Anolis sagrei: one gene and its partners. The protein of the gene in region 1 binds, or shares a complex with, the protein of each later gene. Links are inferred from orthologs where the notes say so. Each region holds a gene or a part of one and is shown on either strand. Other genes may lie near its edges.

Region 1 (11,548 bases):
TTTCAGAGCTATACAACGCAAGAAACCCTGTATAAAGCTTTCAGCTATAAATGGGGTACGAATAACTGAGGGGGGGGGGGAGCAGAAAGATGGAGAAAGGAAATGTATTATTTTCCTCTGCAGTGGTAGTAGTAGTTGCTGATATGTATATACCACCTTTGTCCCAACATGGAACACAAAGAAGTTTACAAAGGTTAAAATAAAACAAGAAAAGAAAATCTGTACTGCACCACAGGATTGGAAAGAAGTCATCTGAAAATGAAAGAAACAATCTTTGGCCAAATCCAGCTGGCAGAAAAAGAACTGTATTCTTTTGGCCAGAGGGGAATAATGGAACTAAATATAAAGCAGCTTTATGCATATATTGATGACAGCACCTGACACAAATAAACCCAAAATTCAGTCTGGACAGATTCCAATTTCTTATCAAACTCCACTGGAAAAATCTTACGTACTCTCATTCTGAAGTGTGTTAATGGCATCATCCAGAATGCAGTCAGGAGAAAACCCTGGAGTCTTTGACAGCAAGCCCAACAGGGAAGCAATCTTCAGTCTGACAGAAGGATCATTCTCCTATAGAGATAAAAAAACAACAACAGAGGAAACCTGAATTATTTCAGTCTCCCTGAATGTGATTGAATGTGATTCCAACCCAGTAGGCTATTAGAAATTGTGGGAGTTGAAGTCCAAAACATCTGGAGGGTTGAAGTTTGCCCATGCCTGATCTACACTCTATAACTTCTGGATCATCTCAGCAAGCGAGAGTCCAAAAGTGGCAGGCTCAAACCCAGAACCTCAACCAATGGCTGATACCAAATGAGAGACTCCCCCCTGGGCACAAAGAAAACTGGGCGACTTGGAAGGCGCTGAACAGACTGCACTCTGGCACCACGAGATGCAGAGCCAATCTTAAGAAATGGGCCACAAAGTGGAATCCTCGACATGCGAGTGTGGAGAAGAGCAAATCACTGACCACCTGCTGCAATGCACCCTGAGCCCTGCCACATGCACAATGGAGGACCTTCTTACAGCAACACCAGAAGCACTCCAAGTGGCCAGATACTGGTCAAAGGACATTTAATCAACTACCAAACCCGCAAATTTTGTATTTTGTTTGTTTGTTTTGTTCTGTTAGAAATGTAATAAAATTGACTGGTTGCTCTGACACGACAAATAAAACTCAAGAACTGATGCAGTCTGAAATCACTTTAACTGTTAACGACTCAATGCAATGGAATCATGGGAGTTTTTTCAAGGTCTTTAGCCTTCTCTGCCAAAAAAGATGGTGCCTCACCAAACTACTATTCCCAGAATTCCAGAACACTGAGCCGTGGTGATCAAACTGTAGGACCTACTCATCTCACCTTGTAATAATGCTCCAGCAAGATTCGGACCACTCCTTCCACGCTTTCTGGTTCCACGGGCTTCCTGGCAAATTGCAGCAGGTACTGCAGAGCATCTGCTGGTGAAGTCGCCTTGCACAGATCCACGTGGAGTGCTGCTGACTTACTTGGCTTGGTCAGCCGGAGCTTCTTCGCAGAAATCTCTTCATGCTGCTGTTGCTGTAACAATAAACTGTGTAAGGCTGTGTTTCCTCAAAGAAAGGAGGCAGGAAATGCTAAATGATTCTCCACACATTAAGCTGTAAGAATTGCCTTGTTATTATAGCCATCTAGATCCCTGGTTCCCAATGTGGGGCACACACCTCACAGAGGGGCAATTTGATTTTTTAAAGGGGGCAATTTAAGAATGAGTTAATAACAGTAATTTTCTTGCATTTGCAATGGTTTTAGGGGGCCATGTTTACAGTATATAAATATATATTGCGACATACACATTAAAAAAAATTAAAATCAGAATGTGCACGGTGGCCAGCTTTTTTTTTTTTTGGTCGTGTCAGGAGTGACTTGAGAAATTGCAAGTCGCTTCTGGTGGTCAGCTGATGACAATGGAAAGGGGAAAAGCCCCTCATAGAGAAAAATGGAGAGTGCAGAGAGAGAAGGGGAGAGTACAGGAGCACAGAAAAGGGAGATCACTTTTCACCCCTAACTCCTCCTCTCTAACGCCTTCCTTTAAGAAGACAACCTATGCTATATGTGTGTGTGTTTTGATTCTGCATGTGAATGTAGCAAGATATCTGTGAAAAAATCCAAAGAGCAATGATTACTTTCGTAAGTAATTCAGTATTTTTGTTTGAAAAAATAATTTAAAATATTACTATGTAACATGATTTTTTTTCTGGGCTGTAAATGTCAACCATGGACATGAACACAATCTAGTTACCAGCATTAAAAAAAACTAGAATCCAGACAGTAAATAAATAACATCACACAGAAACAGGAGAACTCCAAACAACAAGCAATCAAGGGCCAGTTAACACTATACCCAAACAGAATGTTTCCAAGCAACAACAGCCAGGCTACCTCTGAAGATACCCTCACTGACTGACTTTGCAGCTTCATGGTTACTCAATGCTATTCAAGTTTACTAACTGAAATTTGCTTCAAACAGACATTGGAGAAACTACACTGTTTAGGTGGTATTGCACCAGCTGACATCCACCAGGGAGTAGCAACCAATAGTGAAAGGACCAAGGCAGTGACATCTCTGGCCCACCCCTTTTTTGGGTATCAGCCAGCATGCCAACGCTTTAAATCAAGAAATAGTTTTCTAAGATCTACAGAGACACTCACTGGAACACCTCAGCAACCGAGAGTCCAAAAGTGGCAGCGAGAGTCAATCAATGGCTGATACCAAATGAGAGACTCCCCCTGGGCACACAGAAGTCTGGGTGACTTGGAAGGCGCTGAACAGACTGCACTCTGGTACCACGAGATGCAGAGCAAACCTTAAGAAATGGGGCTACAAAGTGGAATCCACGACATGCGAGTGTGGAGAAGAGCAAACCACTGACCACCTGCTGCAATGCACCCTGAGCCCTGCCACATGCACAATGGAGGACCTTCTTGCGGCAACACCAGAGGCACTCCAAGTGGCCAGATACTGGTCAAAGGACATTTAATCAACTACCAAGCCTGCAAACTTTGTGTTTTGCCTGTTTGTTTATTTTGTTCTGTTAGAAATGTAATACAATGGTCTGGTTGCCCCTGACACGATAAATAAATAAATTTGTATTGCCTTACATAAGTATATCTATATGGATGTTTAAAGCCAGTATAGTGTTGTGGTCTGAGCATTAGGGTATGACTTTAAAGGCCAATGTTCAAATCCCCACTCTTCCATATGTCTGTTCTCTTTTGTTCCATCATCTCAAGAATCATGAGCCAACAATGTGATGTGGCAGCAAAAAAAGCATCAATAGGAAACTAGTGTTTAGATCCAGGAAAGTCATGCTACCCATGCTCTATTCTGCTTTGGTCAGGTCACACCTGGAATATTGTGTCCAATTCTGGGCACCATAAGTGAAGAGAAGTGAAGTGAAGTGAAGACAGATGGAATATTGTGTCCAATTCTGGACACCCCAAATCAAGAGAGATATTGACAAGCTGGAATGTGTCCAGAGGAGGGCGACTAAAATGATCAAGGGTCTGGAGAACAAGCCCTATGAGGAGCAGCTTAAAGAGCTGGGCATGTTTAGCCTGAAGAAGAGAAGGCTGAGAGGAGACATGATGAGTGCCATGTATAAATATGTGAGAGGAAGTCATAGGGAGGAGGGAGCAGGCTTGTTTTCTGCTTCCCTGGAGACTAGGACGCAATGAAGCAATGGCGTCAAACTACAAGAAGGGAGATTCCACCTTCTGAACATGAGGAAGAACTTCCTGTCTGTGAGAGCCATTCAGCAGTGGAACTCTCTGCCCCGGAATGTGGTAGAGGCTCCTTCTTTGGAAGCTTTTAAACAGAGGCTGGATGGACATCTGTTAGGGTGCTTTGAATGTGATTTTCCTGCTTCTTGGCAGAATGGGGTTGGACTGGATGGCCCTAGAGGTCTCTTCCAACTCTTTGATTCTATTATTCTACCTGAACATTAGGAAGAACTTCCTAACTGACTGTGAGAGCCGTTCAGCAGTGGAACTCTCTGCCCCGGAGTGTGGTGGAGGCTCCTTCTTTGGAAGCTTTTAAACAGAGGCTGGATGGCCATCTGTCAGGGGTGATTTGAATGTAACATTCCTGCTTCTTGGCAGAATGGGGTTGGACTGGATGGCCCACGAGGTCTCTTCCAACTCTTTGATTCTATGTCAGCTGCTGTCCTCTCCTTTTTGCCTTGTCTTTTACTCGTGTTGCATTTTGAAATGGTCATAAGACTGGTCAAATAAATAAATTATTATTATTATTATTATTATTATTATTATCACAAGAGTTAGTTACCAGTATTAAAAAAAACACCAGAATCAAGAGAGTAAATAAGGAACACCACTCAGAAACAGGAGAACTCTAGGCAAAAAGCAATCAAGGGCCAGTTAACACCTCCCAAACAGAGAGTGCCTCCAGGCAACAACAGCCAGGCTACCTCTATGCAGATACCTCACTTTACAGCTTCATTGCTACTCAATGCTATTCAAACTTGCTTCAAACAGACATGGGTTCTTTCTCCAACCCTGGACATTATTCCACAGATATATCTACACTCAAGGCCACCCAACCCGCGTCTCAAAAGACCCCCCCGGTTACCTGGACGACCACTTTGCTGAACTCTTCATACACTCGCTTCTTTAAGTGCGCCGCCATCTTGGATCGAAGCATCAGTCCCGCGGTTTCGCTTTTCCGTCACTACTGACCCTTCGGAGCCACCGTAGCCAGCCGCCTTCCTCGGTGGGAAAAGGTTCAAGAGACCTGTCTGACAAAGTAGTATTTACCGCAACCATGACTTCAGGCTTCCAATTGAAGAAGTTAAGATCACTGATGTACAGAAGCAGAGTGGGAATGAGAAACATGGCTCAGAAGAAAGGAAAACTATTTTTGTATTAATATTATTTTTTGAAACCTGATTTAATTTTGTAAGCTAACAGAAGACCACTTTTGGGTGGATCTACACTGTAGAACTACACAGCAAACCTATATATATTATATATGATATAATATATTTATATATTTATTATGTGTTATATTATAATATATAATTATATATATATCTATATATATATATATATATAATGTATGACATTTATATATTATATTATATGTTATATTATAATATAATATGTATATAGCATTATATATATATATATTATTTATGACATTTATATATTATATTATATGTTATTTTATATATATATATATATATATATATATACACATATACATATATATATATGATATTACATTTATATAAATAAAAATGTAATGTTCGTTTGTGGGATTAACATAACTCAAAAACCACTGGACGAATTGACACCAAATTTGGACACCTATCAGGTCATCACTCATAAAAACATTGAAAAACACTGGAAGAGACTTTAAAAGGCAAAAAAATAAAATAAAAAATACATTACATTACAACTTATGTGCATAACCACATAAATACACATATACACAAATATATACGCACATACACATATACACAGACTGGGCCACAGCAATGCATACCCATGTATTCCACACTTACTGTATGTTTTCATGTTTACGCTCAGCAATATAAAATATACTTGAATGTCTATAGAGACTCTTTTTATGTTGGATTTGATATCATCAATATAAATAAAAATGTAATGTTAATTTGTGGGAGTAACATAACTCAAAAACCACTGGGCAAATTGACACCAAATTTGGACACAATACACCTATCCGGCCAACTAGTGCCCATCACTCATAAAAACACTGAAAAATTCAGCAGAAGAGACTTAAAAAGGCAAAAAAAGAAAAAACACATTACAACACATGCAGAAGACCACACACACACACATATACACAATATATACACACAGTTACACACACACAAAGCACATATACACAGACTGGGCCACAGCAATGTATGGCAGGGGATGGCTAGTATACAAATAAAAATAAATAAAATACATAAAAACACTAAAAAACACAGCAGAAGAGACTTAAAAGGCAAAAAAAAATTACAATGCATGCACAAAACCACATATATACACATATATATACCCACAAAATACATATACATAGACTGGGCCACAGCAACGGGTGGCAGGGGACGGCTAGCGTGTGTGTGTGCATAATACAAAAGTTTAGAAATAAAGTTAAAAATGCACCCATGGAATCCTGGGAGTTGCAGTTTTGCAAGGTTTCCAGGCTTCTCTGCCAAAGACTTCTAGTGACTCACCAAACTACAAACCCCAAGATTCCACAGTATTGAGCCATGGCAGTTAAAGTGGCATCAATGTGAATGAATTCTGCAGTGTAGATGCACACTTTCAAGTCCCATTTTTGTGAATTTTTTAATTATTATTATTGTGTTGTTGAAGGCTTTCATAGCCAGAATCACTGGGTTACTGTAAGTTTTTCGGGCTGTGTGGCCACGTTCCAGAAGCATTCTCTCCTGACATTTCGCCTGTATCTGTGGCAGGCATCCTCAGAGGTTGTGAGGTCTGTTGGAAACTAGGAAAATTGGGTTTATATATCAGGGTGGGAGAAAGAACTCTTGTCTGTTGGAGGAAGCTGTTAATGTTTCCGTTGATCACCGTGATTAACATTTAATTTTGTTGTTTATTTGTTCAGTCGCTTCCGACTCTTCGTGACCTCATGGACCAGCCCACGCCAGAACTCCCTGTTGGCCGTGGCCACCCCCAGCTCCTTCAGAGTGAAGCCAGTCACTTCAAGGATACCATCCATCCTTTGTTTTTTGGATCACCAGTCCCAGAATCCCCAAGCCAGCTATTCTGGAAGTGGTGGTCCAAAAGCGAAGTAGTTTCTGCTTCATGTAATATAAAATATGTTCAGAGGTTTGCTATTGACTTTCTCTGAGGCTGAGAGAGTGTAACTTGGTTACCCAATGGGTTTCCATGGCTAAACAGGGATTCAAACCCGGGTCTTCAGAACCTAATATTACTAATATTAATAATAATAATAATAATAATAATAATAAACAACTTTATTTCTACCCGAACACCATCTCCCCACAGGAACTCGGGACGGCTAACATGAGGCCAAACTCAACAATGACAAGAAATCAAAATGAAATACATATAACAGATAATAACATCAAATAAAATGCAAACAATAACAAAATAATAGGCTCAATAGGCTCTTCTTCTGTGTATGTGTGTCTTTTGTCTATACTGTTGATAGTTGTAGTTTTCCAAGGTCCAAGAGTACTGATGCTTTAGCTTTGCGCTGTGGAAGTAAAAATGGTATGGAACTGCATTCATTCAACATGTGTAGATGCACCGTTGGACTTGCCAGGCAGGGATAGTCTGGATAGAAGTAGTTATTAAGAACCCTAGTCCTCCTATTGGTGGTGAGGTTCCATTACATGCATTATATTACATTATATGGCATTTTTGGACTCATATAATCCAATTCAATGCAGTTAAATTGCATCCTGACAGTACATTATATGGCAATGTAGATTTTTATTTATCATATCAGAACCACAAATATAGTGAAAAACGTGACATTATGCAATATAGATGGGTCCCGGAGAAGGGAGCAAAGGCAACCTGGTCAAAGTTTAAGTTTAGCTGGACATTTTTCTTCAAATACAAAGCTTGGGTCCCCAAAGGCACTCTGTACATGCTCAGTAACATGCTTCCATCATTGGAATATGAGAATGGAAACAAGATATGGGGATAAAGTGGTCCTTAGAGGAAATTAAACCACATTTTGGGATGCTAAAATGATAATATATAACTACACCACTGGAGAAATTACACTGCTTAGCCGGTATTGCACCACCTGACATCCCCCGGGAAGTGGCAGCCAATAGTGAAAGGACCAAGCCAGCTCATCCCCTGTTTGGGTATCAGTAACACATCAACAATTTAAATCAAGAAATAGTTTTCTAAGATCTACAGAGACACTTGCTGGAACACCTCAGAAAGCGAGAGTCCAAAAGTGGCAGGCTCAAACCCAGAACCCCAATCAATGGCTGATTCCAAATGAGAGACTCCCTCCTGGGCACACAGAGGACTGGGCGACTTGAAAGGTGCTGAACAGACTGCACTCTGGCACCATGAGATGCAGAGCCAACCTTAAGTAATGGGGCCATAAAGTGGAGTCAATGACATGCGAGTGTGGAGAGGAGCAAACCACTGACCACCTGCTGCAATGCAACCTGAGCCCTGCCACATGCACAATGGAGGACCTTCTTGCAGCAACACCAGAAGCACTCCAAGTGGCCAAATAATCGTCAAAGGACATTTAATCAACTACCAAGCTTGCAAACTTTGTGTTTTGTTTGTTTGTTTGTTTGTTTGTTAAAAAATGCAATACAACTGTTTGGTTTGCTCCTGGCACGATAAATCAAATAAATATATAACTGGATAGTGAATAATTTTGTGTATTATTTGTAACTGGAGATTTCAAAAGTCAGTATAACAGATATGAGACACTTCAATGGAAGACAATAGTCATGATGTGGCTTGAAAGTAAACATTAGCTCACCCGAGGCATGTGATTTGTTCAAATAGCCTCGAAGAACAAGAATAATAAACACACAGCTGCTTTGACGTTTTGTCTTATGTCTGTTATAACAGGCTGTGCTTTTTATTTAATTTTAGTTTGTGAAGTTATAATTCATATTTACTGTATACATTTTGTTAGCATGAATGTATTGTTGTTGTATTTGGGCATTGAATGTTTGTCTTTTATGTTTGGAATCCGCCTTGAGTCCCTTTGGAGAGATAGAGCGGAATATAAAGAAAGTTTTATTATTATTACTAGCCGTCCCCTGCCAGGTGTTGCTGTGGCCCAGTCTGTTGATCTGGAAAATAAAGTAACGAGAAAGTGTTGGTTTTTAATATATGTAATTTCTTTTTGCTTGTGGGTAAACATTATTTCTTGCTGTTTCTTTGTCAGTGTTGAGATGGAGAGTGTCTGGTTTGCCCACCCTGGAACATGCAAGATATCATTGTTTGTGTCCTTTTTAAGGTCATATGCCGCGGCAATAAGAGCCGCAAAGAAAACTTTCTTTGCGGCCACTATTGCGTCTGCAAAGAACCGTCCGGCTGAACTGTTCCGAGTTGTCAGAGGCCTTTTAAAACCCACCATTCAGGATGGGTGCCCTGATGACGCGGCAGCTCGCTGTGAAGCTTTTGCTCAGTTCTTTACAGACAAAGTCGCTTTGATCCGCTCTGGACTGGACACCATATTAACGGCAGTCTCTGAGGATGTAACACGAGCATCTGCTTGTCCGATTTTGATGGATTCATTTCAATTGGTTCAAACCGAGGATGTGGACAAGGTGCTTGGAGGAATGAGAGCTACCACATGCATCCTAGACCCCTGCCCATCCTGGCTTCTAAAGGAGGCCAGAGGGGGATTGGCCGAGTGGGTTAAGGTGGTGGTTAATGCCTCCCTTCGGGAAGGCATTTTCCCAGCCAGCTTAAAGCAAGCTGTGATAAAACCGCTGTTGAAGAAACCATCACTGGACCCCACTCAATTGGTAAACTATCGGCCTGTTTCCAATCTTCCCTTTTTGGGCAAAGTCATGGAACGTGTGGTGGCCTCACAACTCCAGGCATTCTTGGTAGACACGGATTATCTAGACCCGGCACAGTCTGGCTTTAGGCCGGGACACGGTACCGAGACAGCCTTGGTCGCCTTAGTGGATGATCTCCGTCGGGAGCTCGACAGGGGGAGTGTGTCCCTGTTGGTGCTACTCGACCTCTCAGCGGCCTTCGATACCGTCGACCACGGTATCCTTCTGGGACGCCTCGCGGGAATGGGTGGCTCCGGTCATTCCTCGAGGGTCGGTCTCAGAAGGTGTCACTGGGGGACTCCTGTTCTACCCCACAACCTTTGTTTTGTGGGGTTCCTCAGGGTTCAATACTGTCCCCCATGTTGTTTAACATCTACATGAAGCCGCTGGGCGAGATCATCCGGAGTTTCGGGGTGCGGTGTCATCTGTACGCAGATGATGTCCAGCTCTGTCACTCCTTCCCACCCGCTACTAAGGAGGCTGTCGAGGTCCTGAACCGGTGCTTGGCCGCTGTGACGGTCTGGATGGGGGCGAACAAATTGAAATTGAATCCAGACAAGACAGAGGTACTCCTGGTCAGTCGCAGGGCCGAACAGGGTATAGGGTTACAGCCTGTGTTAGACGGGGTCGCACTCCCCCTGAAGACACAGGTTCGCAGTTTGGGTGTGATCCTGGACTCATCGCTGAGCCTGGATCCCCAGGTTTCGGCGGTGACCAGGGGAGCATTCGCACAGTTAAGACTCGTGCGCCAACTGCGACCGTACCTTGGGAAGTCTGACTTGGCCACGGTAGTCCACGCTCTGGTTACATCCCGCCTTGACTACTGCAACGCTCTCTACGTGGGGTTGCCTTTGAAGACGGCCCGGAAGCTCCAATTAGTCCAACGGGCGGCAGCCATGGTATTAACAGGAGCAGGGCGCAGGGAGCATACAACTCCTCTGCTGTACCAGCTCCACTGGCTACCGATTAGCTACCGAGCCCAATTCAAAGTGCTGGCTTTGACCTTTAAAGCCCTAAACGGTTCTGGCCCTACATACCTATCCGAACGTATCTCGGCCTATCAGCCCACCAGGACCCTAAGATCTTCAGGAGAAGCCCTTCTCTCCATCCCGCCTGCTTCACAAGTGCGGCTTGCGGGAACGAGAGATAGGGCCTTTTCTGTGGTGGCCCCCCGGCTTTGGAATGCCCTCCCTACTGAAATAAGATCAGCCACCTCGCTAATGGCATTTCAGAAAAAACTGAAAACTTGGATGTTCGAGCAAGTTTTCAACTAATTCCGATGTGATGATGTTTTGATCATGGACTAGCAATCAAGGATAACGAATTGGATTACGACTTTAACTATGAGATGTTCCGGTCTGTATTGGTGGCCCAATACTATGTATGTATATATATGTATTTTTATATTTTATTTTATATTTTTAAAGTGAATATTGTATTTTTAAATATGTTGTAAACCGCAATGAGTCGCCGCACAGGCTGAGATATTAGCGGTATACAAGTGTACTAAATAAATAAATAAATAAATAAATCATTGTCCTTCTTTAAGGGTCTCTTTCAAATCTATGATACTATATCTCTCTGTGTGTGAATCATATATATCTCTATGGCTGGATGGCTCTTTGTCAGGAGGGCTTTGATTATGTTTTCTTGCCCTGGTGAAGGGAGTTGGACTGGAAGGCCAACTTCTTTTGGTCATCATGGAGGTTCTGTGTGGGAAGTTTGCCCCAATTCTGTCATTGGTGGGATTCAGAATGCTCTTTGATTGTAGGTGAACTATAAATCCCAGTAACTACAACTCCCAAATATCAAGGTCAATTTCCCCCAAACTCCACTAGTGTTCACATTTGGGCATATTGAGTATTTGTGCCAAGTTTGGTCCAGAGCCTTCATTGTTTGAGTCCACAGTGCTCTCTGGATGTAGGTGAACTACAACTCCCAAACTCAAGGTCAATGCCCACCAAACCCTTCTAGTGTTTCCTGTTGGTC
Region 2 (10,522 bases), on another chromosome or scaffold:
CTTTTTTCTTGCAAAGAAACATCTACTGAGGAAAATAAACAGATGCATAATGGAAAGATTCTTCAAATCCCTAGCATTTGAATGTTAAGGCACTCACTTTAAATACCTTAAAGGCACCAGTTTCTGTCTGATCCAGAGGCTGAGCAGGGTTAACGCTGGTTAATACTTTGATGAGAGACTGCCAATGAATGCCAGGTGCTGTTGGCTCTATTTCAGAGAAAGCAAATGACAAAACCAGCTATACATATTCCTTGCCTAAGAAACCCATGTGAAATTCATGGGATTGCTGTAAGTTAACCTGAAGGCCGATACATATACACAACTTTCTGAAAAGTGGAAGACTGAGGAAGAATACCTCAACACTCCCAAGCAGTTCAGCATTAGATGCCTATGACACATTTGTCTCATGTTAGATGCTGGAAAAAGCACATCTGTATCTTTCATACAATCACAGAGTTGAAAGAGACTACAAGGGCCATCCATCCAAACCCCTCCCATGCAGAAAAATACAAGCAATTATACCCGACAGATGGTCATCCAGTCTCTGTTTAAAAACCTCCAGAAAAGGAGACGTCACCACATTCAGGGGAAGCATATGCCACTATTGAACAGTTTTTATCCTTGAGAAGTTCTTCCTAATGTTTAGGTGGAATCTCTTTTCCTCAGTTTCATTCCATTGCTCCATCGTGTCCTAGTCTCCAAAGCAGCAGGGGGAAAAAGTGCTCATGCCTCATTGTGACATGCTTACATATATTTCAGCATGGTTAATATCCCTGTCTCTCCGCTTTCTTTTCTCCAAGTCCAAGATAAACATACCAAGTTCCCTAAGCCACTTCTCAATGGGCTTGGCTTCCAGACCTTGGTCACCCTTTAGGCTCTCCAACTTTCATACACCTCCCTTTCAAACTCCCCCCTTCAACCCAACATTGCTACAGAAGAACCCAAAGCTTGGGATGCAGTGACAGTTCTCAGGTCCCACTTGTCATGCTTTCCTGTTTGCAAGAGAACTCCTCCCACTCTGGATATCAGATTATGGCACACCCCGTCTCTCAGCTCGCAACACCCCTCCCCTGCCACTTCTCTGCCCTTTTCCGATACCGCCACCATCTCAATTTCTAAACGCATATACTTTACTGGAATTCTCATGCCCAAACCCTAGAAAAAAACCAACAGGTAGTCCAACCCGCATGGTAAAGAGGTCAAAACTCTTCACCTGGTTTAAGTGTGCTGTGAGAAACAGAAGCTATTAAAGTTTAGTTAAAACCAGGAGCTTAGGTTTAATGAAGCAGCAGTAAAGGCTGCCAGTGAGCTGAGCATCAATCATCTCATTCAAGGCTGGAATCAATTCCCAAATAAAATACAGCATGCATAAAGCCCTCACTCTCTCCCCAAAAATAATAACATGCTTCTTCTACTCTAAGACACCATTAATTGTAAGACATGCACTAATTTTAGTAACACCAAGAGAAAAAGCTTTTATTATATGTAAAAAAAGCAGCCATGATTCTAAGATGCATCCCATTTTAGAGGGTTTTACATGAGGAGAAGCATACACCTTAGAATCGAGGAAATACAGTCATAATTATTTCAGCAATTTGGCTAAAGACTGCTTAAATCAAGAAAAAAACAACTGCTCTTCAAGGCCATCAAGACAGAATACATTATCTTCCCTCTCCTAACAGAGACAAAAATGTGCTTTCTTCTGCAGCAGAAAAGAAGTATCCACCACAAATCATCTACCATCACTCAAAACCAAGTTCTGGAAATGTTAACAGTCAAAACCAAGACACTTTGCTGATGTTATTCACACAGCACTGAGTAGACATACAAACCGAGTGTGTCCCTGCTTGACTTTTCTCATACCCTGAGGGACGGCAACCTTGACCTACGAAAGAACCGATCTGTTGGGAAACAATCCTGTCCGTCAGACTGAGATGACTCTCCCTGGCTGAGTTTCATGTTATCTGGGCATCCGCGACAAGAGCCCAGCCTCTCCAGATGGCTGGGAGAATCCAAGACAATGATCATACCTTCCTTTTTGTTTTCCCTTTCGGAGCAATTAACCTAGAAGAAGAGCCACCGCCATCCCCTCTCTTTCCGTCTCGCGCGATGCAGAAAAGAGCAATCACAACTTAATAATGTCAGATTTTGCAGGCGGGGAGGTGGGAGGGAAAGAAACCAGCTCCTTCCTGTACAGGAGAAGAGCCTTCAAAGTGAGTTAAGAGGCAACAAGGAGAGTGATCTTGAGCAGGCGCCCAAAAGAGACGTTTCCTCTCCATCTCTTTGCCCGACAGCATTCATTTCAAGGGGAAAGAGAGGGTGGGAGGGAAGGAGGGAGGCAGCCAGCCGCCTCCTTGTCTTTTAAAACTTCCCCTGCAAAAAATTGCATGCATGCATACGTAATAGATAGAACAAACCTTACAAAATAGATAGTCCAAAAGAAGTCTCATCCACAGAGTGGAAGAAAATAACCCTTTTGTATTCTATTCCCTGCAAATACATATAGAGAACAGAAAATAAAACGGATAGTTCAAAAGAAGCCTTCATTCTCAGAGAGAAAGAGAACAAACCTTTCCCTGCAAGTGGATTTATATTATATTATGTATATATCCAACAAAATAGCTAGTTCAAAAGAAGTCTCCTTTCTCAGAGAGGAAGAAAAACAAACCTTCCCCTGCAAGTGGATTTATATTATATTATATTATATATCCAAAAAATAGCTAGTTTAAAAGACATCTCCTTTCTCAGAGAGGAAGAAAACAAACCTTCCCCTGCAAAGGGGATATAGATAGAGATATGATTATATAGATATAGATGATAGATAGATATACCATAAATACATATCCCACAAAATAGCTAGTTCAAAAGAAGTTTCTATTCCTCAGTGAGGAAGCAAATAAACCTTCCCTTGCAAAGGGGATATAGATAGAGATATATGGTTATATATCTCTATCTATCTGTCTATTATAGATATAGATATATTATACTATAAATACATATCCAACAAAATAGCTAGTTCAAAAGAAGTATCTCTTCCTCAGTGAGGAAGGAAACAAACTTTCCCTTGCAAAGGGGATATAGATAAAGATATATGATTACATAGGTATAGATATATTATACTATAAATATATATCCAGCAAAATAGCTAGTTCAAAAGAAATATCTCTTCCTCAGTGAAGAAGCAAACAAACCTTCCCCTGCAAAGGGGAGAGATATAGATATGGATAGATAGATATAGATATAATATACTATAAATATATATCCAACAAAATAGCTAGTTCAAAAGAAGTATCTCTTCCTCAGTCAGGAAGCAAACAAACCTTCTCCTGCAAAGGGGATATAGACAGATATATATGATTATCCCTCTCTCTCTATATATATATATATTGCTGTATATATATATAGTATAATATATCTATATATTATATAGATATATTATACTATATATATACAGCAAAATAGCTAGTTCAAAGGAAGTATTTCTTCCTCAGTGAGGAAGCAAACAAACCTTCCCCAGCAAAGGGGAGATATATAGATATAGATATAATATACTATATATATATATAGAGAGAGAGAGAGAGCGTATTATACACACACACACATATATAACTACAGTGCAGATAGATATAGATGTATTATACTATAGATATATATTCCACAAAATTGCAAGTCCAAAAGAAGTCTCTCTACCTCAGTGATGAAGAAAACAAACCTTCCTGTGCAAAAGGGATATATTGATAGATATAGAAATATTATACTATATCTTCTTTCTAAGCTATTTATCCAACGGAAGGGTTAGCATAGATATATTATACTATATCCCATAAAACAGCTAGTTCAAAAGAAGTCTCTCTACCTCAGTGATGAAGAAACAAACCTTCCCCTGCAAAGGGGATGTATATATACTATAGATAGATTAAACTCTCTCTAGATATCTATATCCCACAAAAGAGCTAGTCCAAAAGAAGTCTCTCTACCTCAGTGATGAAGAAAACAAACCTTCCACTGCAAAGGGGATATATAGATATAGGAATATTATACTATATCTTCTTTCTAAGCTATTTTCCCAATGGAAGGGTTAGCATAGATATATTATACTATATCCCACAAAACAGCTAGTTCAAAAGAGAGGAAGAAAACAAACCTTCCCATGCAAAGGGGATATATTGATAGATATAGATATATAATACTATATCTTTTTTCTAAGCTATTTTCCCAATGGAAGGGTTAGCATAAATATATTATACTATATCCCACAAAACAGCTAGTTCAAAAGAGAGGAAGAAAACAAACCTTCATGTGCAAAAGGGATATATTGATAGGTATAGATATATAATACTGTATCTTCTTTCTAAGCTATTTTCCCAATGGAAGGGTTAGCATAGATATATTATACTATATCCCACAAAACAACTAGTTCAAAAGAAGTCTCCTTCTTCAGAGAGGAAGAACACAAACCTTCCCATGTAAAGGGGATATATTGATAGATAGATAAATATAATAAGCTATTTTCCCAATGGAAGGGTTAGCATAAATATACTATACTATATCCCACAAAACAGCTAGTTCAAAAGAAGTATCTATTCCTCAGTGAGGAAGCAAACAAACCTTCCCCTGCAAAGGGGAGATATATAGATATAGATAGATATACATATAATATACTATATATATCCATAGAGAGACAGTATACTATATAGATAGATGGATATAGATCACACAAAATTGCAAGTCCAAAATAAGTCTCTCTATTTCTGTGAGGAAGAAAACAACCCTTCCCTTGGTTATATATCTCTATCTATATTATAGATATAAATATATTATACTATAAATACATATCCAGCAAAATAGCTAGTTCAAAAGAAGTATCTATTCCTCAGTGAGGAAGCAAACAAACCTTCCCTTGGTTATATATCTCTATCTATCTATATTATAGATATAAATATATTATACTATAAATATATATCCAGCAAAATAGCTAGTTCAAATGAAGTATCTCTTCCTCAGTGAGGAAGCAAACAAACCTTCCCCTTCAAAGGGGATATAGATAGAGATATATGGTTCCCCCCCTCTCTCTCTCTCTCTCTCTATATATATATATATATATAGATATAGACATATTATACTATAAATTTATATCCAACAAAATAGCTACTTCAAAAGAACTATCTCTTTCTCTTGCAAAGGGGATATAGATAGAGATATATGATTTATATATAATAGATATAGACATATTATACTATAAATATATATCCCACAAAACAGCTAGTTCAAAAGAAGTATTTCTACCTCAGAGAGGAAGAAAACAAACCTTCCCCTGCAAAGGGGATGTGTATATAGTATAGATAGATTAAACTCTCTCTCTATATCTATATCCCACAAAGAGGAAGCCTCTCTTCCTCAGAGAATGAGGAAAACCAACCTCTTCTTGTCCTTCCTCCCCAAAACTCTGTTGACATTTCCCCACAAAGTCACTTTGGGAAGGAGCCACTTTCTTCCTTCCAAATCTCTCCTGTTTCTTTCCCTTTTCCTCCAAAATCTCCTTTCAGAAACAACTCTTGATTTTCTGCCCTAGCATAAGATGGGCCTCACCTGGAGCCTTCTTCTGGAGCCCTGAAGAGGAGAAGTTGAGGGGAAGCTTCCCTGCCCTCAATCAGACCAGCCTGACTGCCTTTGTCTGCCTGACAAGCGCCATGTTGATATCAACATCCAAGCTCCCACCTGCCGCCGCGGGGAGGCCCTGGGACTTGTAGTTCCGCCTCCCCCAGGGTGCAGGCGCCAAGTCGCCGCTGGGAACTACCCATCCCGGCATGCCTTGCGCCGACGCTGATTAGACGGCGGTTGGAGGAGGGAGGCGGGGAGGAGGGAGTAGAGACTACGCTTCCCGGCGTGCTCTGCTGCTGGCAGGACAAGATGGCCGCCCATGACTTCATTCTCCTGAATCATTAGGAGGCTGAGAGAAGGACTACACTTCCCAGGATGCTTCGGGAAGCACTTCCGGTTGGGAAACAGGAAGGAAGAGACTGCATGCCACAAACAGAGCCTGGGGTGAAGCATGAAGCTGGTGAGTCTGGGAGGACTTTGGAGGAAGTTTTAAATAGTAATAATAATAATAATTGTGCGATGTGTGATCCAGTACAACTGTGCAGGTACAGTTGTACCAGGAGCTCCAATTTTGTTTGCTTTGCACAGAATGTTTGTTGTAGTCCTAAGTTTCAGGGACTCTGCAGATAGGTGGCTTCTTTTGGCTGCAATCATAGGGCAAGCCACCTGTCAATTATAGTTAGGTTCCCTGGCCCTGCCCCCTTTTTGGGTTTTGTAGGGAATTATGCTGGGGAAAGTGGAAGGCAAAAGGAAGAGGGGCCGACCAAGGGCAAGATGGATGGATGGCATCCTTGAAGTGACTGGACTGACCTTGAGGGAGCTGGGGGTGGTAATGGCCGACAGGGAGCTCTGGCGTGGGCTGGTCCATGAGGTCACGAAGAGTCGGAGACGACTGAACGAATGAACAACAAAGGGAATAGGAGTCATTTGGGATTCAGTCCACACAGAGAAGCCTTTCGTGCAGGACGTAATACCAAGAGCTCCTGTAGAAAGCTTAGTCTTCTTCGTCTGATGAAGGCAGAACCCGGAGCAGGGCATCCCCAGACGATCTTAAAGTCCTAGATGGTTCATAAGGGAAGATGCATTCGTACAGGTAAATTGGACCAGAACCATTTAGGGCAGGGGTCCTCGAACTTTTTAAACAGAGGGCCAGATCACAGTCCCTCAAACTGTTGGGTTATTGATGTCACCCTACCAGGAGACAGTCACATTGAGGAAAAACAATGAAAAACAGGAAAACTCAGCCGTGATCAGGACCTCAAAATTGAATGGCAAGGGCTCTGGCGAAAACCAGTACAGGTGATCCCAGTGGTCATTGGCACACTGGGTGCTGTGCCAAAAGATCTCAGCCAGCATTTGGAAACAATAAACATTGACAAAATCACGACCTGTCAACTACAAAAGGCCACCTGACTTGGATCTATACGCATCAATTCGAAAATACATCACACAATCCCTGGTTCACCGAGGAGCTGGCAGCGATGAAGCGAAGGAAGAGGGAACTAGAGAGTGTGTGGCGTTCGGATCCGAGTGAGCCAAATCGAACACGGTTTGTGTCCTTTTTAAGGGCATATGCCGCGGCAATAAAAGCCGCAAAGAAGGCCTTCTTTGCGGCTACTATTGCGTCTGCAAAGAACCATCCGGCTGAGCTGTTCCGAATTGTCAGAGGCCTTTTAAATCCCACCACTCAAGGTGGGAACCCTGACGATTCGACTTCTCGCTGTGTAGCTTTTGCTTAGTTCTTTGCAGACAAAGTCGCTTTGATCCGTTCTGGTCTGGATACCATGTTAATGGCAGTCTCTGAGGATGTAACATGAGCACCTGCTTGTCCAGTTTTGATGGATTCATTTCAATTGGTGAAACCCGAGGATGTGGACAAGATACTTGGAGGAATGAGGCCAACCACATGCATCCTGGACCCCTGCCCATCCTGGCTTCTAAAGGAGGCCAGAGGGGGATTGGCTGAGTGGGTTAAGGTGGTGGTTAACGCTTCCCTTCGGGAAGGCAAGATTCCAGCGAGCTTAAAACAAGCTATAATAAAACCGCTGTTGAAGAAACCATCACTGGACCCCACTAAATTCGACAACTATCGGCCAGTTTCCAATCTCCCCTTCTTGGGCAAAGTCTTGGAACGTGTGGTGGCCTCACAACTCCAAGTATTCTTGGTAGACACGGATTATCTAGACCCGGCACAGTCTGGCTTTAGGCCGGGGCATGGAACTGACACAGTCTTGGTCGCCTTAGTGGATGATCTGCGCCGGGAGCTCGACAGGGGGAGTGTGTCCCTGTTGGTGCTGCTGGACCTCTCAGCGGCCTTCGATACCGTCGACCACGGTATCCCTCTGGGACGCCTCGCGGGGATGGGTCTTGGAGGTACTGTTTTGCAGTGGCTCCGGTCATTCCTGGAGGGTCGATCTCAGAAGGTGTTGTTGGGGGACACCTGTTCAACCCCACAACCATTGTCTTGTGGGGTTCCTCAGGGCTCAATATTGTCTCCCATGTTGTTTAACATCTACATGAAGCCGCTGGGGGAGATCATCCGGAGTTTCGGGGTACGGTGTCATCTGTACGCGGATGATGTCCAACTCTGTCACTCCTTTCCACCTGCTACTAAGGAGGCTGTCCAGGTCCTGAACCGGTGCTTGGCCGCTGTGACGGTCTGGATGAGGGCGAACAAATTGAAATTGAATCCAGACAAGACAGAGGTCCTCCTGGTCAGTCGCAAGGCCGAACAGGGCATAGGGTTACAGCCTGTGTTGGATGGGGCCGCACTCCCCCTGAAGACGCAGGTTCACAGCTTGGGTGTGACCCTGGACTCATCGCTGAGCCTGGAACCCCAGGTTTCGGCAGTGACCAGGGGAGCATTTGCACAGCTAAAGCTTGTGCGCCAGCTGCACCCATACCTTGGGAAGTCTGACTTGGCTCTGGTTACATCCCGTTTAGACTACTGCAACGCTCTCTATGTGGGGTTGCCTTTGAAGACAGCTCGGAAACTCCAACTAGTCCAACGCTCGGCAGCCATGATTTTAACAGGAGCGGAGCGCAGGGAGCATACAACCCCCCTGTTGCGCCAACTCCACTGGCTACCGATCTGCTACCGGGCTGAATTCAAAGTGCTGGCGTTGGCCTTTAAAGCCCTAAACGGTTCTGGCCCAAGCTACCTATCTGACCGCATCTCTGCCTATGAACCCACCAGGACTTTGAGATCTTCCGGGGAGACCCTGCTCTCGATCCCGCCTGCTTCTCAAGCTCGGCTGACGGGGACGAGAGATAGGGCCTTCTCGGTGGTGGCTCCTCGGCTGTGGAACGCCCTTCCTACGGACATTAGACTAGCACCATCTCTAATGGTATTCCGCAAAAAGGTGAAGACCTGGATGTTTGTGCAGGCGTTTGAGTAATTTAGTGCAATCTGGTAATGGAACATAGGAATGGAACAATGGACGACGAACCTGGACTACGCTTGGATGATGAGAAGATTGGGTACGGTTGTTTTTCGTAATAATTGTGCATTGTAATTGCTTATTGGTAATTTATGGATAATGTGTTAAGTCAATTGTTATATGTTGCATGGCACCACTGCTGTTTCTACTGTTTTTACTGTTTGTGAACCGCTGTGAGTCGCCTTCGGGCTTGAGATACAGCGGTATAGAAGCAAAGTAAATAAATAAATAAATAAATCCCAGACGCTTGGGAAATGTTTGACTTGTGATTTTGTGATACGAAATCCAGTTTGCTGTGACATACTGTTTTTGTGTCAGTAAAATAATAAAAATAATAAAATATGGGAGGAAGAGATGATAATAAATAAATAAGGTCAATATAATAATATAATAATAAAATGTGGGAGGAAGAGATGATTCGCACACACACACACCTCCCTTTATATTTCTGTTTTTAATTTTGCAACTCCTGCCCCTTTTGGTGGGATGAGTTATAATTTCAAGCACCTATCCCAAAAACAGCAGGAGACGACGGGATCCCAGCTGAACTGTTTAAAATCTTGAAAGATGATGCTGTCAAGGTGATGCATGCCATTTGCCAGCAAATATGGAAAACACAAGAATGGCCATCAGACTGGAAAAAATCAACTTATATCCCCATACCAAAAAAAGGGAAATGTGAAAGACTGCTCAAACTTCCGCACAGTGGCCCTTATTTCTCATGCCAGTAAGGTAATGCTCAAGATCCTGCAAGGAAGACTCCAGCAATACATGGAGCGAGAGTGGCCAGACGTTCAAGCTGGGTTTAGAAAAGGCAGAGGAACGAGAGACCAGATTGCCAATATCCGCTGGATAATGGAGAAAGGCGGGGAGTTTCAGAAAAACATCTACTTCTGCTTCATTGACTATTCTAAAGCCTTTGACTGTGTGGATCATAATAAATTGTGGCAAGTTCTTGGTGGGATGGGCATCCCAAGCCCCCTTGTCTCTCTCCTGAGGAATCTGTACAAGGACCAAGGAGCAACAGTCAGAACTGACCACGGAACAGGAGACTGGTTCAAGATTGGGAAAGGTGTACGGCAGGGTTGTATACTCTCCCCCAACCCATTCAGCTTGTATACAGAACACATGTGCGGGGCTTGAGGAATGCAAGGCGGGATGAAAATTACTGGAAGAAACATTAACAACCATAGAATAATAGAATCAAAGAGTTGGAAGAGACCTCCTGGGCCATCCAGTCCAACCCCATTCTCCCAAGAAGCAGGAATATTGCATTCAAATCACCCCTGACAGATGGCCAGCCAGCCTCTGTTTAAAAGCTTCCAAAGAAGGAGCCTCCACCACACTCCGGGGCAGAGAGTTCCACTGCTGAATGGCTCTCACAGTCAGGAAGTTCTTCCTCATGTTCAGATGGAATCTCCTCTCTTGTAGTTTGAAGCAGGAAACAAGCTTGCTCCCTCCTCCTCCCTGTGACTTCCTCT
Region 3 (10,949 bases), on another chromosome or scaffold:
CAGCAAAAAGTGGCGTAGCTTTTATTTGAAATTACATTTCCCCATTCTCTGTTGAAACAAGCTTTCCATAGGAACAAGGTGTACAATCTACATAAATAAAGAAAATGTGTTTAAATTACTTCTTTTTCTTTTCATCTTTCTCTTTGCCCAAACCGACTTAAGAAAAATTCAAGTACAGCTAAGGTCCCTTCTATACTGCCATATAATTCAGATTATCAAAGCAGGTCATCCACATTATTTGCTTTGAACTGGATTATATGTGTCGACACTGCCATATAATCCAGTACAAGGCAGATGGATTTTATATGGCAGTGTAGAAGTGGCCTCAATCTTAATTCTATTAAAAGCACGACATTAAAACAGCTTTTAAAAAGATAAAATACACAACATATTCAAAGAAAAGACCTGTAGTAATGAAACAATAAGTAAAGACCCATAAAAAGGTCCTTATGCTTCAGAAAGAGAAACAAAAAGGAATTTAATATGTTTTTTAATTTAATATGTTTACGACTAATCACTTGTATCTCTCTCACTGATTCTTACTGTACATATGCACAAAATTCAATAAAAAAGATTTATAAAAAAAAAGAGAAACAAAAAGGAATGTCAACTAAAACTTGGGTTAGAGTTCCATAGCAACTACTGTAGCCCCATTTATACTGCCACACAATAGTTTCAGAATGCAGAATAACTGCACTGAACTTGATTATATGAGTCTACACTGCCACACAATGCAGTTCAATGCATTGAAACTGCATTTTGAAACTACATTATATGGCAGTGTAGATGGGGCCTGATTGTAGTGGGATCTAAAGACAGCTCTGTCCAAAGAGCTTAACACTTAGGATCTCATCACACTAGAGAATGAATCCATCTCAACTTACCTTATCAACAGATCGCTTTTCCACTTCCTTTTTCACCTTTTCGGCCACAACAGGTTTGCCATTATTGCTGCCTGTAGGAAGGCTTGAGGAAACCTTAATCTCTTGTTTAACGGATATTGGTTTTGCAATAGATATTTTGGGTGGCTCTACCTCCTGAGTAAAGCCAAACAAAAATACAACATTGACCGTTTATTCAACTGCAAATAATAATAATAATAATAACAATAATAATAATAATAAAGTATAATTTCCATCCCTCCCTATCTCCCCAATGGGGACTCAGTGTGCTTAACAATATGTAGCGGTGAACATTCAATGCTGTAAAAGGTAAACAAACAGATAAATTACCATAAAAATACATTAAACATCTACATCAAGCAATAATTAAAAATTGCAACAAATTAAACATCACACAACTAAAAATTACATTTTAAAACTAATAAACTATTTAAAAAGCAGGCTTAAAAACTGACTTTAATAAAAGTTTTATAAAGCATTAAAATTTAAAAGCCAGACATCCCACAGCACATTTTGCTATAGTTTTTTCAATGAATATCTCGAGTCAAATTCAATCAATTCAACATAGTTTGTGGCAGCCACAAAAACCAAGTTTCTGGAGTATAACACTTTCAAAATCAGTATGGTACTATTAAATAACACTTTCAAATCAGTAACAAAAAATGTTTCAAATTTTGTTACATAGTGTAGTAATTGTTTGTTTTAATTTCTCTGTATTTTCACAGACTGATTCAAAGTATGTTTACTCATCGAGTTCAGTAGAGTTACTTCCTCATGATTGCAACCTTCTTTATTTATTCTTTATTTGACATATTCACTTCTTCTGATCAAAATGAAATCTCCATATAGTGAGTTTGTGGGGTTTAAAAAAACCCTCAAAGCTTTCTTTGGAATCTAAATGGTTTTTTGATTCAGGTTCCTTCCACACAGCCATATAACCCAGAATATCAAGGCAGAAAATCCAACAATATTTGCTTTGAACTGGGTTATTTGCTTCCTTTCTGGAGGAATCCTTTGTCAGGTGTTAGCTGGCCCTAACTATTTCCTGTCCAGAATTCCCGTTTTTTGAGTGTTGTTCTTTATTTACTGTCCTGATAGAATTTTTTTAATACTAGTAGCCAGATTTTGTGCATGGTTTCCTCCTTTCTGTTGAAATTGTCCACACGCTTGTGGATTTCAAGGGCTTCTCTGTATAGTCTGACATGGTGGTTGTTAGAATGGTCCAGCATTTCTGTGTTCTCAAATAATATGCTGAGTCAAGTTGGTTCATCAAGTGCTCAGCCATAACCATAGTACCTTTTTCTGACAAAAAGCACCTCAGTTTAAGGAGGAGCACAAAATACCTTACATATTCCATATATTAGGGCTAGTACCTTCTGTGAGGGGCGGTAGCTTGAGTCTATCCCTCTGGACAAGGATTCGTCAAGCAGCGCTTTGAGTTTCTCAGCAGAATCTTTGCTTTTGGAATGCAAGAAACCAAGAGCTTTCAAGAAGATGGGGTCCAGCTCCAAGTTCATAGCAGCAGCCATAGCAGCACCTTTGAAGGAAGAAAAGAAAGAGAGAAATAACAAGATGGAAAAAGTTTAAACATATGTTTTGCTTGTCAACTAACCTTTGGTTTTTGTTGTTTATTCATTCAGTTGCTTCCTACTCTACCTGAGCTACTACGTCCCAGAAGCACTTTATTAGAGTTTAAGACTCTCTGCACATTGCACTTGCCCGGAAATCCAACATACCTCCTGCCACACCCAGCACTTTTTAACCTGTACCCATCACTGGCCCAGCCCTGGTTTTATTGCATAATGATGTAACATTTTGTTATTGCTTATGTTTTAATTTGCTTTAAATTGTATTGTTATTGTTTTGCTGTTGTGTTGAGGCCTTGGCCTTTGTAAGCCGCATCAAGTCCTGCGGGAGATGCTAGCGGGGTACAAATAAAGTTAATAATAATAATAATGAGCTCATGGACTAGTCCACGCTAGAGCTCCCTGTCGGCCATGGCCACCCCCAGCTTTTTCAAAGTCAAGCCAGTCACTTCAAAGATAACATCCATCCATCTTGCCCTTGAGTCGGTCCCTTTTTCCTTCCATCTCCTCCAAGCTTTCCTATCTTCTCATTATGTGGCCAAAGCACTTTATCTTTGCCTCTAATATCCTTCCCTCCAATGAGTAGTCGGGCTTTATTTCCTGGAATATGTATGGGTTTGATCTTCTTGCGATCCAAGGCACTCACAGAATTTTCCTCCAGTACCACAGTTCAAAAGCATGTATCTTCCTTCACTCAGTCTTCTTTATGGTCCAGCTCTCACATCCGTAGGTGACTACGGGGAATATCATTGCTTTAACTATGCAGATCTTCTCTAGGCTTTGCTGTCTCCTCATGATGTGGCCAAAGTACTTCCACTTTGTCTCTAGTATCCTTCCCTCCAATGAGCAGTTGGGCTTTATTTCCTGGAGGATGGACTGGTTGGATCTTCTCGCAGTCCAAGGCACTCTCAGAACTTTCCTCCAACACCACAGTTCAAAAGCATCTATCTTCCTTTGCTCAGCCTTCCCTAAGGTCCAGTTCTCACATCCGTAGGTTACTACAGCGAATACCATGGCTTTGACTGGGCGGATCTTTGTTGCCAGTGTGATGTCTCTACTCTTCACTATTTTATCAAGATTGGACACTGCTCTCCTCCCAAGAAGTAAGCGTCTCCTGATTTCCTGGCTGCAGTCTGTGTCTGCAGTAATCTTTGCACCTAAAAATACAAAGTCTGTCACTGTCTCCACGTTTCCCCCCTCTATTTCCCAGTTGTTAATCATTCTTGTTGCCATAATCTTGTGTTTTTTGATGTTTAACAGCAACCCAGCTTTTGCGCTTTTTTCTTTCACCTTGATTAGAAGGCTCCTCAACTCCTCCTCGCTTTCGGCCATCAAAGTGGTATCATCTGCATATCTAAGGTTGTTAATGTTTCTTCCAGCAATTTTCACCCCAGACTTGAATTCCTCAAGCCCTGCACATCGCATGATGTGTTCTGCATACAAGTTGAATAGGTTGGGGGAGAGTAGACAACCCTGCTGTACACCTTTCGCAATCTTGAACCAGTCTGTTGTTCCATGGTCAGTTGTTCATTCAATCAGTCGTCTCCGACTCTTCATGACCTCATGGACCAGCCCACGCCAGAGCTCCCTGTCGGCTCCCTGTCACCACCCCCAGCTCCTTCGAGGTCAGTCCAGTCACTTCAAGGATGCCATCCATCCATCTTGCCCTTGGTCGGCCCCTCTTCCTTTTGCCTTCCACTTTACTTGGTCCTTATACAGATTCCTCAGGAGAGAGACAAGGCTAGAAGGGGCCAACTTGGGCCCTCCCTCCAGGTGTTTTGGACTTCAACTCCCACAATTCCTAACAGCCTACCGGCTGTTAGGAATTGTGGGAGTTGAAGTCCAAAACACCTGGAGGGCCCAAGTTAGCCCTTGCTTGCTATAGAGCCAGTTTGACACCACTTTACTCAATGCTCTTGAATCCTGGGAGTTGTAGCATGGTCCTCTTTAGCACAGGAGGAGAAAGGCATTCATTACAATACATTACAATTCATTACCACACAATGGAGAGAAGCTTTCAAAAAAAATAACCCCTTCCTCATTGGCCCCTGCTCTTTCACCTCATTTGGCAGGGAAACCCCGTCGCGAAGGAGAAGTCCAGCCAGCCAGGTGTCTCCTTCTCGTTCTCCTCCTTCTCCCTAGAGGTGCCGGCCGCCTTCTGTCCCCGGCTGGCAGGCAGACACACAACGGAAGTGAGGAGGAGCGCCGGAAGAGGCGGGGCTTGCGGCTTCTGAGGCGGACACTGAGAGGAAGGCGCTGGCTAAGGATCTCCGGTAAGGAGGCTTTGGAGAAATGTCCCATCAAGTCTTTGGCTTTTAAAGCGAGCTTTTGCTTGGAAAAGGATTGTCTTTTTCCCCTCTACACCAGGCCTGGGCCAACTTGGGCCCTCCCTCCAGGTGTTTTGGACTTCAACTCCCACAATTCCTAACACCCTACCGGCTGTTAGGAATTGTGGGAGTTGAAGTCCAAAACACCTGGAGGGAGGGCCCAAGTTGGCCCAGGCCTACTCTACAATTTGCAGTTTGACATCACTTTTCCCTGCCATGGCTCAGTGCTATGAGATCTTGGGAGTTGTAGTTTGGTGAGGCAACAGCACTCTAGCAGAAGACCTTGTAGAACTACAACTCCCAAGATCCCATTGCATTCTATTCTCTCTCTCTCTCTCTCTCTCTCTCTCTATATATATATATATAAATGCTCTGTGCATAATGAGTACCTTAAAAACAAAAGAACCAATGAACGAAATCATACCAAATTTGGCAACAAAATGTCTCACAACACAAGGAGTGGCCATCACTCTAAAAATTATGATTTTGTCATTTGGGAGTTGTAGTTGCTGGGATTTATAGTTCACCTACAATCAACGAGAATTCTGAACTCCCATCATCGATGGAATTGAAGCAAACTTGGCACACAGAACTCCCATGACCAACAGAAAATACTGGAAGGGTTTGGTGGGCATTGACCTTGAGTTTGGGAGTTGTAGTTCACCTACATACAGAGAGCACTGTGGGCTCAAACAATGATGGATCTGGACCAAACTTTGGCACAAGCACTCAATACGCCCAAATATGAACACAGATGGAGTTTGGGGGAAATAGACCTTGACATTTGGGAGTTGTAGCCACTGGGATTCACAGTTCACCTACAATCAAAGAGCATTCTGAACCCCATGAATGATAGAATCGGGATAAACTTCCCACACAGAACCCCCATGACCAACAGAGAATACTTAAGGCCATCCATTCCAACTCCCTTCACCAGGGCAAGAAAACATAATCAAAGTCCTCCTGACCAAGAGCCATCCAGCCATAGGTAGAGATAGATAGATATGATTCACACACAGAGAGATATAGTATCATAGATTTGAAAGGGACCCCTAAAGAAGGACAATGATATGTTGCATGTTCCAGGGTGGGCAAACCAGACACTCTCCACATCAACACTGACAAAGAAACAGCAAGAAATACTGTTTACCCACAAACATAACAACATTACATATATTGGAAACCAGCACTTTCTCATTACTTTATTTTCCAGATCAACACACTGGGCCACAGCAACGCGTGGCAGGGGACAGCTAGTTGAGCAATAATAATAATAATAATAATAATAAACTTTATTTATACCCTGCTACCATCTCTCCAAGGGACTCGGTGCGGCTTACATGAGGCCAAGCCCAACAATACATCAATAAAACAAAAAGCAATAACAAAAACAATCAATACAATACAATTAATATAAATCACATAACCAATAAATAATGATAATAATAATAATAATAATAATAATAATAATAATAATAATACTTTATTTATACCCTGCTACCATCTCCCCAAGGGACTCAGTGCAGCTTACATGAGGCCAAGCCCAACAGTACATCAATAAAACAAAAAGCAATAACAAAAACAATCAATACAATATAATTAATATAAATCACATAACCAATAAATAATGATAATAATAATAATAATACTTTATTTGTACCCTGCTACCATCTCCCCAAGGGACTCGGTGCGGCTTACATGAGGCTGAGCCCAAATGCAACAATACAAGCAATAATAACAGCAATACAAGTAATTAAAATAAACATGGACAATCCAATAATGCAACATTAACAATAAGACCACATGATTAAAAACTATGGGAAGGCCAAATGTAAAATTAAAATTGGAAGTAATGCTGGAACATGGGCGAAAAAGTGATGGGGCATTTGTGGAAAACATACAAGCAGGCCTAAAATGTAAAGTGCTTTGGAGGACAAAGTGCTATGGGATCATTATTCTTGGAAGGCACACAGGAACAGCCACGTCTTCAAGCTCCTCCTAAAGACTGCCAAAGTTGGGGCCTGCCTGATGTCCTTAGGAAGTGAGTTCCAGAGTCGGGGGGCCACCAGTAACATACACGCATTTAAAAACTTATGGCCAGGCCAAATGTAATAGTTTAAAATTTAAAAAATAACACTGGGCATGAACAAGGTAGGATATAACTGGTATAGGGTTTTCAAAGAGAGATGAGGGAATGCAGTCAGTCCTAAATCTGTGGTAAAAGTACATTTTGAGGGCATATTTCTGAGAGTTTTCCTTATTCTGGGAAGACACACTGGAACAACCACGTTTTCAGGCTCCTCCTAAAGACTCCTCCTAAAGACTCCTTGGGAAGTGAGTTCCAGAGTCAGGGGGCCACCACTGAGAAGGCCCTCTCCCTTGTCCCCACCAAACGCGCCTGTGAAGGAAGTGGGAGCGCGAGCAGGGCCTCTCCAGACGATTGAAGAGATTGTGTGGGTTCGTACACAGAAATGCGGTCACTTAGGTAGGCGGGTCCCAAACCATTCAGGGCTTTGTAGGTAAGAACCTGCACCCTGAATTCGGACCGGAAAATGAAAGGCACCCAGTGGAGCTCCTTAAACAGGAGGGTTGACCGCTCTCTGTAAGTTGCGCCAGTTAGTAACCTGACTGCCGCCCATTGTACCAATTGAAATTTCCAATTGAAATTTTCCGAGCAACGAGATCTCCCTTTAAGCGAAAATATATTTAATGGTGAGAAGATACGCAGAAGTTCCGTTGTCAACCTCTTTCTGCATCATTCATTATTTTGATTCTTAGGTTGCTGCCTTTGCCAGAGGAGTTGTGACTTCTTTTAATAATATTTTTTTGTGTAAATGACTTAATTTTTATTTTACGTAATCCACTGTCGAACTTTCAAGAACAGTGCTATTAACAATGAAAGCAATGTAACCAAGGTTTGTCTACACCAGTGGTTCTCAAACTGTGTGTCCCCAGGTGTTTTGGCTTATAACTCCCAGAAATCCCAGCCAGTTTACCAGCTGTTGGATTTCTGGGAGTTGAAGGCCAAAACATCTGGGGACCCACAGGTTGGGAACCACTGGTCTATACTGTAGAATTAATGCACTTGAATTGCCATGGCTCAATGCCATGGAATCCTGGGAGCTGTAGTTTTAGAAAGTCTGTAGCCTTCTCTGCCAAAGAGTGCTGGTGCCTCATCAGACTACAATTACAAGGATTCCATAATATTTTCTGTGGCAGTTAAAGTTGCATTAATTCTACTGTGTATTATGTGTTTTTAAAAAAATCTTCTCACTTCCATAGGGGAAGTGGGAATTGGTACATTTCCTCACAATTTCCAAATAAAAAGCTGAGGCTGCAGATGTGCATGTCAAACGATGTGGTCCCTAGGGTTTAGTAAGTGGAGTCTGTAATTGTACACATCACACAAGATTAAACAGGAGGCAGAAAGATCTAGTCACCAAAATTATGTCGGTATTCTGCAAATCAGGAATGTAATCCCTGTTCCCACTGTATATTGAATAACTTAATGAAATCAGTGGACTACTCAACCATTTAAGTACCATATGCTGAAGAATTTGCATTGGTAGTGTGATGGTAAAAGAGAGACTTTCAAGATGTAAAATTGGGTCTTACTCTGAAAATAATGCATTTTAACCAATTGTTAATTCAAGTTATTTGATTTCCCATGTGAATATTGTTGAATTTTGGATGCAAAGTTTGCTCAAAAACATTGAACTTTTTTAATGGTGTAGGAACTTATTCCTTTGCTGTGTGTGTTAATACGAGAAGGATGATGGATACTATGTTGTTTTGACTGTCTTAAAACAGTGCCATTAAACAGTATTTTCTGCCTTTACTAGCCAATATGAAGGAGGGGTGATGCCAAAAATTGCAGAGAGAAGATTAACTTAATGTAGAGTCCCCATGCCAAGCATATCTTGGTATTGCCCTTTCATTTTAGGCTAGTATAATTCATTTGGTTTGTGAATGAATTGATGTTTCCAATAGGAAAAAGGACTGATTATTTTCATAGTTTAAAATGTATTAAAAATTAAATCATCTACATATATTTTATTAATACCATTTCTTCCTTTAAGAAAAAAATGAAAGCGGTTACTGAAGACCACTTGTATCTGGACTACATTAATCAGACTGGAGATTGTATCTTTCCTCTCCATACCTCTGTATCGTTGTTCCTGTTGTCATACTGTGGCTGCAAAACATTCAGAGTGTTTCTAGTATCTTCAGATGAAACAGCTTCTGATTCTCAGTTTACAGACAAAGTACTACCGAAGGACCTAGATATTTGCTTCATCAAAAAGTGTGAACTCCCTTTGGTGGTCCAGAGTTGCTGTTTGCCTGCTGTTGTTGAGAAGAATGGAAGATTTTGCCGAGCAGGACTTGCTGTGGTACTCAGACACATTATACATAAAACGTACGAGGCAGATCCATCAAAAGAAGATATTCTCGAACTCTTGGGTTTTAAAAAGACCTGTTTGAAAGCTTGTGCTGAAGTGAGTATTTCTATATAGATTTATAGTGATTTGTAATAAACTTCAAACACATTGAATCTTATTAATTGATTTCAAACAGATTGATTATCCCACTATAGAAAAGCAAGCCAGTAACATATCTTGGCCTTCTTTCTTAAATTAATTCAGAAATTACTAACGTGATACAATCCCAGATGTCTAGTATAGATTAAATGGGAAGGAATCACAAAGAATAGTAAATCATGAAATGTAATGCAAATAACATTGAATATGCATTTGATACTGATATAGTTTTATGTCATGTCAGAAGTGACCTGAGAAACTGCATGTTACTTCTAGTGTGGGAGAACTGGCCATCTGCAAGGATGTTGCCCAGGGGCCACCTCCTGTAGGAGGCTTCTCTCGTGTCCCCGCAAGGGAAACTGACAGATGGGAGCTCACCCCATCTCATGGATTTGAATCATTGACCTTCAGGTCAGCAGTTCAGCCGGCCAAAGGATTTAACCCATTACGCCACCATGGCTCCTGATACTGATATGACAATGCTGGAAGAATTGAATAACAAGTTTATTGTTTTAATGTTTAGATTAATCTGTTTTTAATTTCTTGTTTTAATGTTTACATGTAGTTGCATTTTATGATTTAATGTATAGTTTTATGTTACTGTTGCATTATATTGGGTTTTCATGTTTTGTAAGGCATTGAATTTTTCCGTGAATATTTTGGAAATGGTTTTGAATTCCCCCCCCCCCCCCCCCAAGGGGGTAAGAAAAGTGGTATATAAATGAAGTAAATAAATAACTTATCCTTGGGGAAGAGGAATCTCAGTTAGTTGTTCTCAGTATGTTTGAATAGACCTTTCTTTTTGCTACAAAAGCAAAGGGCCGTATTCTGTAACTCTTCATGCTTTTGTTGGAATTCCTTTTGTGGTTTCCGTGAGTATAGATATAAAACTAATCCCTTAACTTAGCGATTATATTCATTTGCAGGTTAGTGAATGGACCAGACTTTGTGAAATCAGCATTCCTTCGGCTGTTGAAAACTTTTTACGAGCCTCTCCTGAGTGTGAGACTATTCCAGATGAGATACTGCAGCTAGAAAAAAAATTGGGAGCGCCTGTAAGGGTTCATAATGATGACAAAATTCGAAGGCAGAAAGTTAAGCAGCAAAAGACCTTTGTCAGGGAATCAAATAATGATGTTTCTTCACAAGATGAAAAGTTAACAGAAGATCTGGAACCCTGTGGAGCAGACCTGGAACTGAGAGTTGCTCTCTCTAAATTAACTCTGCAGAAAACACAAACGGCTACTTCTAGGGAGCCCTCTCACATAAGAAAGATAAAAACGTCAGAACTCCCACAGTTGGAACACGTTTTTGCAGAAGGACTTTATTTCACATTGGCTGATGTTGTTCTCTTTCCTTGCATCCATCATTTCCTGGTAAGAATGATGGTTTTATTTAATATGTGGTCAAGATGATCTAGTAGTTGATGAGTTGTTTCCACTCTCTCTTTATCTGTAAATGATTGTATTCGCTTTTACATGTTTATCTGGGAGTAAAAAAGTATAAAATGAAAATTATTAACTGGAATAAAGCATTTTGGACTTTAGGAGAGCTGATTTCCAAAAAATGAAGGAAACGCTGAGCAGCACTCCGTGG

What was found.
Region 2: the proteins of INTS4 (region 1) and INTS9 are in contact, whole or in part, in a cryo-EM structure (PDB 8RC4), measured with the Homo sapiens proteins. The link is inferred for Anolis sagrei from reciprocal best matches to the Homo sapiens genes INTS4 and INTS9. Residues at the interface, in NP_291025.3 of Homo sapiens: Leu53, Gln54, Leu57, Gln58, Arg61, Lys62, Pro86, Ser87, Leu90, Lys91, Ser94, Gln125, Gln129, Asp132, His164, Gln207, Asp208, Pro209, Arg210, Arg212, Asp244, Tyr245, Glu246, Gln247, Trp296, Phe837, Gly840, Leu841, Val842, Val843; in NP_060720.2 of Homo sapiens: Lys2, Tyr4, Lys18, Ser21, Thr22, Leu43, Val44, Gln45, Glu87, Glu89, Leu90, Asp92, Asp97, Thr122, Glu145, Arg146, Val147, Pro148, Lys159, Glu174, Ser176, Thr177, Ser192, Gln195, Phe206, Gly207, Ile379, His380, Ser384, Asn385.
Region 3: INTS4 (region 1) and INTS12 share a complex: the UniProt entries of both Homo sapiens proteins name them as parts of the integrator complex. The link is inferred for Anolis sagrei from reciprocal best matches to the Homo sapiens genes INTS4 and INTS12.

What each region holds. Positions count from the first base shown.
Region 1 is NC_090023.1:10,008,827-10,020,374, forward strand, and holds the start of INTS4 (integrator complex subunit 4), read right to left. Parts: upstream 4,758-11,548; 5' UTR 4,702-4,757; coding exon 4,630-4,701; intron 1,563-4,629; coding exon 1,365-1,562; intron 574-1,364; coding exon 456-573; intron 1-455. UniProt on the Homo sapiens protein: Component of the integrator complex, a multiprotein complex that terminates RNA polymerase II (Pol II) transcription in the promoter-proximal region of genes.
Region 2 is NC_090021.1:8,091,682-8,102,203, reverse strand, and holds the start of INTS9 (integrator complex subunit 9), read left to right. Parts: upstream 1-5,954; 5' UTR 5,955-6,052; coding exon 6,053-6,061; intron 6,062-10,522. UniProt on the Homo sapiens protein: Component of the integrator complex, a multiprotein complex that terminates RNA polymerase II (Pol II) transcription in the promoter-proximal region of genes.
Region 3 is NC_090025.1:29,041,954-29,052,902, forward strand, and holds the start of INTS12 (integrator complex subunit 12), read right to left. Parts: upstream 4,681-10,949; 5' UTR 4,549-4,680; intron 2,440-4,548; 5' UTR 2,432-2,439; coding exon 2,276-2,431; intron 1,038-2,275; coding exon 885-1,037; intron 1-884. Other genes in the region: GSTCD (glutathione S-transferase C-terminal domain-containing protein), read left to right, coding at 8,901-9,311, 10,280-10,729. UniProt on the Homo sapiens protein: Component of the integrator complex, a multiprotein complex that terminates RNA polymerase II (Pol II) transcription in the promoter-proximal region of genes.